Macaca fascicularis: one gene and its partner. The protein of the gene in region 1 purifies or fractionates together with the protein of each later gene. This does not show direct contact. Links are inferred from orthologs where the notes say so. Each region holds a gene or a part of one and is shown in the gene's direction. Other genes may lie near its edges. The genes, in order: RND3 and PLEKHG5.

Evidence for each region.
Region 2: the proteins of RND3 (region 1) and PLEKHG5 purify together in Homo sapiens (affinity purification with western blotting; 3 studies listed by BioGRID and IntAct, with this or other methods). This does not show direct contact. The link is inferred for Macaca fascicularis from reciprocal best matches to the Homo sapiens genes RND3 and PLEKHG5.

What each region holds. Positions count from the first base shown.
Region 1 is NC_088386.1:46,025,293-46,029,102, reverse strand, and holds part of RND3 (rho-related GTP-binding protein RhoE), read left to right. Parts: intron 1-3,230; coding exon 3,231-3,340; intron 3,341-3,810. UniProt on the Homo sapiens protein: Binds GTP but lacks intrinsic GTPase activity and is resistant to Rho-specific GTPase-activating proteins.
Region 2 is NC_088375.1:228,398,385-228,402,194, forward strand, and holds part of PLEKHG5 (pleckstrin homology domain-containing family G member 5), read left to right. Parts: intron 1-195; coding exon 196-301; intron 302-709; coding exon 710-770; intron 771-1,001; coding exon 1,002-1,093; intron 1,094-1,562; coding exon 1,563-1,699; intron 1,700-1,958; coding exon 1,959-2,149; intron 2,150-2,702; coding exon 2,703-2,906; intron 2,907-2,982; coding exon 2,983-3,168; intron 3,169-3,534; coding exon 3,535-3,630; intron 3,631-3,810. UniProt on the Homo sapiens protein: Functions as a guanine exchange factor (GEF) for RAB26 and thus regulates autophagy of synaptic vesicles in axon terminal of motoneurons. Involved in the control of neuronal cell differentiation.

The sequences.
Region 1 (3,810 bases):
TGCGTGTTTGTTTTTTGTTTTGCTTTGCTTTTTTTTTTTATCCTGAAAGTCCTGCTGAGCTGATGAATTACATCTTTCCTGGTGGGACAGTTCTTTGATAATTCTATATAAATATTTTTCACTATGAAAAAATAGAGACAATAGACACTGCTATCTATGACAGGATAAACTTAACCTATCAAAAATATAGTGAATAAATGTTCTTGTTATTTTAAATAAATTACTCTTGTCATTGCCAGTCAAATTATGCTTATAACTAAAAAATATGGGAATCAGTTTTACTAGTACCTTTGGACACTTGTGTTGATCTAAAAGCAGCACTGTTCATTAGCAAAAGTAATAGAATGGGATCAAAGTGGCATCCCAAATTAGATCATGTTAAAACTCTGAAAAATTACCTGTCTACCTCCACAAGCACGGTGGTTTATTTCTTATAAACCTTTGCACTACATATGTATTTTCACTCGTACTGTTAACCAGGTAAAAACAAAAGCAGATACAAACTTCCCTGAGAATCTGGTTTAACTGGAGAACCCTGTTTCATTTTAAAATCAGGCCAGAGTCTAAATTTTGCAAATACTTGGATATATGCACTAAGCACAGAAGCCAGCCCGCTGGATTTTAGTAGGTAGCAGTCTCCAGCAGGTGACACAGGGCTGAGCACAAAGCCAGATCTCCTTTGTGGCCATAAAATGGGTGGGGGATGGGAAACATAGTCCACAAAGGGAGGGGTATTCCCAGCAGTCACATGGTGACCTGAATGTTGAAACCATTCCTCAGGATTTTCCTGGCAGTCTCAATTTCAATTAAACTCTTTCATCCTCTTTGTATTTCTTCAATCGCGTTTCCTAATTTTTGTATTTGGAAAAGATGGTCTCCATTGTCATAGAGTAGTGTTACATCTGGAATTAGCAGTGAGTACTCTCACATCATACAGATCGTATCCTGAAAGGAGCTGGTAGGTACCTGGAACTGTCCTCTAAAGATACCAGGTCTGCTTGTACTGGAAGCTCTCCACAGGGAGACAGTGGTTTTTCGTGTTGTGAGTGATATCTGGGAAAAGAGATCTCTGAAGCCTCGTTAGGTTTCTGACAATCCTAACTGTTGGCAACTTTGCCTTCCTGGGTCTGGGATCAGGTCGTCTCTTGCTGACTTTGAGGACCAGAGGAAACTCTCATTTATGTGTCCAGTATTTGGAGCTCCACTCTATGATCTAGAATTTTTTGACTCCCTGTTTGGAAAGAGTCATTCAAATGTTTACAGCAGGCGCTGTGCTAGAGTTAGACTTTGGACACAGAAACAGGAAAGGTTCTAGTTGAAAAAGTGTGAACTTCTCAGAGGTAATACAGAAATACTAATGTAGCCGTAAATAGTGTTCAACCATCTAGTTTCTGATGCCTCTCGAATGTTCAAATGAGTGAACTATTTGTGAATTATTCTCTTCACCTCAGAGTTCTTTCAGCGACTGAAAAGGCAGCCACAGCTTGTCATTTTCAGAGACAGCCTCATTCTAATATACCTTCATACTTAAAATGACTTGACTTTTTAAACTCTAAACCCTTTAAGCTTTTGAGAAATATCTTTCAGCTGTCAGCCTCTGCTCTGCCAGGGTTCTGGTTCCAGATGAGGGTAGGCAGCTGCTGCAGCTCATGAACAGCTCTGACTTAATTCTCTATTTATTCACATTTTTCTTCCTGATTCTTGTAACTTTCTTTTCTTCCTTGCTTAGCAGACACACGTGGCTTGAAGTTGTCACTCTCCATCGTCAAGCAGCTAGGGAAAAAGCTGCACTGTTGCCTGGGGTTCCGCAGCGGATGCCAGGGACCCAGAGTGTACTGTGTGAATAGAGGGTGATGCCCCCCTGACTGCAGTGCCTTTTAGATCACAAGAACAGCCTCCAAGCAAATGTTGTTTTAATAGAAATATAAACAGTGATATTTTTTAAAGCTGCTTTTTAAGTCTCTCTTCCTGACTTTGCCTGTTGAGGTTTTGATTTATCAGGGGACAACATGTCCTGTTTTTCTGCTCAAAATGGAAAGTGATGTCAAATTGAAATAGACTTTTAAAAAGAGTTTGGTGGTTTAGATTTTCTTTTTCTACTCTGGAGTCAGATACATACGTGTGTATATATTTCCTAGTAAAATCATTTTCATGTGATGCTTGGGAAATGTCAGTATACCTAAAACGATTTCTTAAACAAGCTGTATTTAGTTTTCTAGTCAATCACTTCATAACTATTGTCCTCATGTAATTGCCCATCCTTTGGAATTCTTAAAGAAATAGAAAAACTTCCTTGATTGACTAGAGAGTTCTGTGGTTAAAGTAATTGGCTGGTGCCTTGAACATTTAGGGTACCCTGGATTTAATTCAGGTTAAGATCCTTGGATCATGCCTTAGCATCACTTCAGAGATGGGACTCTGTAAAAAAGTGACATGATCCTGTATGACATTTATTACATTCTGAGTTGTAACAGGAAGAAAATCTGTATAGGGTTTGGCAATAAGTTGAAATAAGCAAGCTCAAAGGTCAATAGCCTATCTAAACTTACAACTTGGAGATGGGGTAACACTGTGGTTTCTCTTTGCGTAGTTGTTGAACCCTCCCTCTTCCGCTCTCCCTCATTCACCCCCATCCTGCTGTCAGATTTATCTTGAGTTTAGGTCTCTTTCCCAAGAAGTAGTTCAGTTTCTGATTCTTTTTACCACTCAGCTTTTAACAGTAGCGGTAATACAACCATAATACCCATAGTGAATACGTATTGATCCCTTACTAAAAGCCAGGCACTGCCTGGGTTTACTTAATCTCAGGTACGTATGTTGTCAGCATCTTCATTTTATGAGTGAAGAATCAGAAGCACAGAGTCCCAAAGCTACCTTGCCCCCTCCCTCTTTAGTGGTGGAGGCAGGTTTGCACTCAAGACCACCTGGCCCCAGGTGCTTCCCTACTTCACCCAGGTAACTTCAGGCCCTAGTCTTTGAACCATACAGATTTCACCTTAAGATCCAGGCCCTCCTCTTGAATTTATGTCAGATACATGTGAGGTTTCATTCATCATATACTTCCAAGCAGGCTTTTGTGTGTCTGTTTAAATTCTTTTCCAAGAATGAGGGGAAGTGGGGGTTGGGTCATGATGTGACAGTCAAAGGACTTAGCCCGAAAGGGTAGAGTTAATGCATGACAGACAAGGGGACTCTCATCTGAAAATCTGTGTATCTTTGTTTCTTCTCAGGTTCTCCTTACTATGACAATGTCCGCCCCCTCTCTTACCCTGATTCGGATGCCGTGCTGATTTGCTTTGACATCAGTAGACCAGAGACCCTGGACAGTGTCCTCAAAAAGGCAAGTGCTGGGGAATGATGACACACTTCAGTACTAGGTGATATATAAATAGAAACATGGGGATTGCTGGGGAACTCAAAGACTCTAGTCAATTCCCTGCCTTACAATTTGTAATTAAACACTAGAAAGAACCCTTTCACACCAAAATGGGGTTTCCACTTTTTGATGATGAACATGCTTGAAATTTTATTTCATGAAGCTCTGAAACAGAATACCTTTCAAGGGCCTGCGTGTTTGTCTTTCGGGAGAAAATGGTACAGCTGAAAACAGTTATATTTGATTACTATCATATTCATGTCTTCCTTCCTTCTTTCAGTGACTCAACCGATTGCACCTTAGCTTACAGAGTTACATTTGACCTCAAGTCAGTTAGTGAAAGGAATGCAATAATGGCTATTTTAATAAGCTGTGTTTTAGTTATGGTATTAGAAACAGAAATGGAACTAGTATAGGAGGAATAGGGATGTGTC
Region 2 (3,810 bases), on another chromosome or scaffold:
CCAGCCTGGGTGACAGAGTGAGACTCTGTCTCAAAACAAAAAACATTGGCTGAGCCCCTCTCCTCACAGAACTGAAGGGCCCTCGCTACCTGTCATCTGGGGTTTCCAGGGTAACACTGTGGTCCCTCTGGAGGCGGCCATGCTGCAGGCTAAGGAGGGGCGGGGAGGCACAACCCCCTCCCGCTTTCTCCCAAGGCTCTGTCCTTGCCCGGAACGTGTCCACCCGGTCATGCCCGCCACGCACCAGCCCCGCGGTGGACTTGGAGGAGGAGGATGAAGAGAGCTCTGTGGATGGCAAAGGGTAGGTGAGGGGTGAGTGGGCAGAGAGATACCTGGGGGGCCCCAAGGCTGGGTCTCAGATCAGACATTCAGGACCAGATGCTTTGGTGCCCTCTCCGAGTAAGGCTGACGGGCAGACCTCTCCCCACCCCTGTGGCTGTCCTGACTACGGGAAGAGGCCACCCAGCCTGGGCCAGCGTCCAGGGCGCTTGGGATCCTGGCCCACACCAGACCAGGTACCGTTCGGTGTGACTCCCATGTTGGCCACCAGAGGGCGCACAGCCCCATTCGGGCCTGGCAGGGTTGAATCCACGCGGGTTACCTGTCACCTGGGGTGAGCGAGGGGTGGGGAAGCCACAGGCCCACTCGCTGCCCACGCTGGTGAGGGCCACCCACACCTCCAGCCTCTGCCCTCCCTGCTTCCCTGCAGGGACCGGAAGAGCACAGGCCTGAAACTCTCCAAGAAGAAAGCAAGGAGGAGACACACGGATGTGAGGAGCATCCCCGGGACGGCACATGGGGGCTCCCGACAGCCTGCGCCCTTCCCTGAGCCTGGGCCTCTCTCCGGGACTGGGGTGGGGAGGTCTGCATCCCAGGCTGCAGAGGCCTGGGAGATCGCTGGGGTTCCCTTTCTTGCTGGGGTTCCCATCCCAGACCGGAGGGTGGGGAGGAGGATGGAGAGGAGAAGCTCACAGCTCCCCCCCCCGCCCCCATTCTCTCAGGACCCGAGCAAGGAGTGCTTCACCCTGAAATTTGACCTGAATGTGGATATAGAGACGGAGATCGTCCCAGCCATGAAGAAGAAGTCGCTGGGGTAGGGCTTGGGGGCGCTCAGGATGGAAGTGGGACTGGGAGCAGGGGTGGCCCCATGTCGCAGGTTCCGGGTCTCTGCAGGTGTGACCTGTGTGTCTGTGTGGTGGCCCATAAGCGAGCACATCCCTGCGTGGGCAGACCCGTGTGGGTGTGCACGCCACTGTGAGGGAGTGTGGCGGGGTCTGTGTACTTGTGCGTTTTAATCATGTATGTAGGAGCCAGGCCTGCGTGTGGGTAGGCGTGTGACAGGTCTGCCATGGTGTGCAGATGCGCCTGTGTGAGGACCTCTGCGGGCAGGTGTCTGTGGACCTGCGTGTGATCCCACACGGGCTTCCCTTTTCTGTTGGGAAGGTGGGGGAAGGTGGGGGCAGCTAGGGCTGTGGGTGGGGCAGGGGCTCGTGGGGGCAGGGCCCAAGCTGAAGCGACTGGCTGCCTTGTTCTAACACACACGCCTCCTGTCCTGGGGGCAGGGAGGTGCTGCTGCCTGTATTTGAAAGGAAGGGCATCGCGCTGGGCAAAGTGGACATCTACCTGGACCAGTCCAACACACCCCTGTCCCTCTCCTTCGAGGCCTACAGGTTCGGGGGACACTATCTTCGTGTCAAAGGTGAGCAGCAGCCTGGGCCAAAAGGGGCCGCTGGGGCTGGCGGAGCCTCCTGGAGATGGGCACCTTCCCAGGCTCAGGTTCCCATTGGCTGTGGGCCTGAGCAGCCTCATTACCATACAGGTGTCTCTGCGGGTGCTGCTTGCTGGGGGGAGAGGCGGGGTGGGGGGAGGGCTGGCAGGGCACGGCTGTAGGGGGAGGGCAGGCAGGCCTTGGTGTGGATCCTTCAGGGAGAGAGGACTGGGGCCCCCTCCTCCACCAGACCTGGGTACTGAGGATCTCTCATGGCCCCCACACGCGACCCCAGCCAAGCCTGGAGATGAGGGCAAGGTGGAGCAGGGCGTGAAGGACTCCAAGTCCCTGAGTCTGCCGATCCTGCGGCCAGCTGGGACTGCGCCCCCCGCCCTGGAGCGTGTGGACCCCCAGAGCCGCCGGGAGAGCCTGGACATCTTAGTGAGGAGGGGGGGGGTGTGTCAGGGGAGGAGGTGGGAAGGGCCCCAGGCTGGACCCACAGCCCCTCCTCAGAGGCAGTCACCCTGGGTCTCTCACTGCCCCCTCTTGGGGATTTAATTGCTCCTTCTGGAAAGTGGGGCTGGCTGTGAGAGTAAGGGACCCTCTCTCTCTGGACCTAGCGCAAGGTGAGGGCTTGTATCTGAGACTCTTCTAGTGCCAGCGGGTCAGGGAACCTGTGTGTGCATGTGTGCGTGAGAGAAGTGCCCCGGGCTACAGACCGCCCAGAGCTGTGTTCCAGAGTGCATCTGAGTGTGTGTAACTCTGCGCTTCATGCTTGAAGCTGGGGGACTTGGGGCTGATAGTCTGGGCGTATCTGTGTCTGGACCTTCCAGTCTCCAGACATGTCTGGGTCCCAGGAGAGGGGACACCCCAGGGTAGAGATGCAGAGACCCTCCTCCATCCCAGGCTGGCCTAAGGCCCTGGAAACCCACCTTGGGGTGGGGCCATGGGGGCTGGCAGGGGGTCCCGGCCCTGACCACCCCTCCCTGGTCAGGCCCCTGGCCGCCGCCGTAAGAACATGTCGGAGTTCCTGGGGGAGGCGAGCATCCCTGGGCAGGAGCCCCCCACGCCCTCTAGCTGCTCTTTGCCCAGTGGCAGTAGTGGCAGCACCAGCAGCGGCGACAGCTGGAAGAACCGGGCGGCCAGTCGCTTCAGCGGCTTTTTCAGCTCAGGCCCCAGCACCAGCGCCTTTGGCCGGGTATGTGGCCCCATCTGCCCAGGGTCAGGCAGCTGGCTGGCCGTGACCTCTGACCCTGACCAGGGTATCCTCCCAGGAGGTAGACAAGATGGAGCAGCTGGAGGGCAAGCTGCACACCTACAGCCTCTTCGGGCTGCCTAGGCTGCCCCGGAGGCTGCGCTTCGACCATGACTCCTGGGAGGAGGATGATGAGGACGAGGATGAGGACAATGCCTGCCTGAGGCTGGAGGACAGCTGGCGGGAGCTCATTGATGGGCATGAGGTGAGTGCGGGCCACAGTGCTGCTCCCTCCTTGTCCCAAAAGGAGGACAGCCCTTGGGAGGAGGATCTAGTGATGAGATGTTCTATGGGATGCCCCAAAGAGGCCACTGTTATTATGAGCCCACTTTGGAGACAGAGGCTGGATGAAAATGGTGTGCTGCTTGGCTGTTTCAATGGCAGAGGAGGGCCCAGATCTTGGGTGTCTTGACTGTGATTATTCACGTGGTATCAAGGGTGACCCTGCTCCTCTTGGGACCTCCGTGTCCCCGTTGGGAAGATGAGAAAGCTGCGTGCAGTTTGCTTATCCTCCCTGGCCACCCGAAGGTGCTCCAGGCCTCCTTGTTGACCCGTCCTGCCCTCCCTGTAGAAGCTGACTCGGCGGCAGTGCCACCAGCAAGAGGCAGTGTGGGAGCTGCTGCACACGGAGGCCTCCTACATCAGGAAACTGCGGGTGATCACCAATGTGAGTAGGGGCTGCGCTGGTCCCCGTGGTCACCCTGCCCCCCTCTTTCTGGTCTCTTTCTGACAGCCCTCAGCTGAGTGGGAGCCTTTGCAGAAGGAGCAGGTGCCTGGCAATGAGGTGGGGGCAGGAAAGTCAGACAAGGGCTGTGCCCAGGGAGGAGGTGGCTCCTAGAGGAACCTG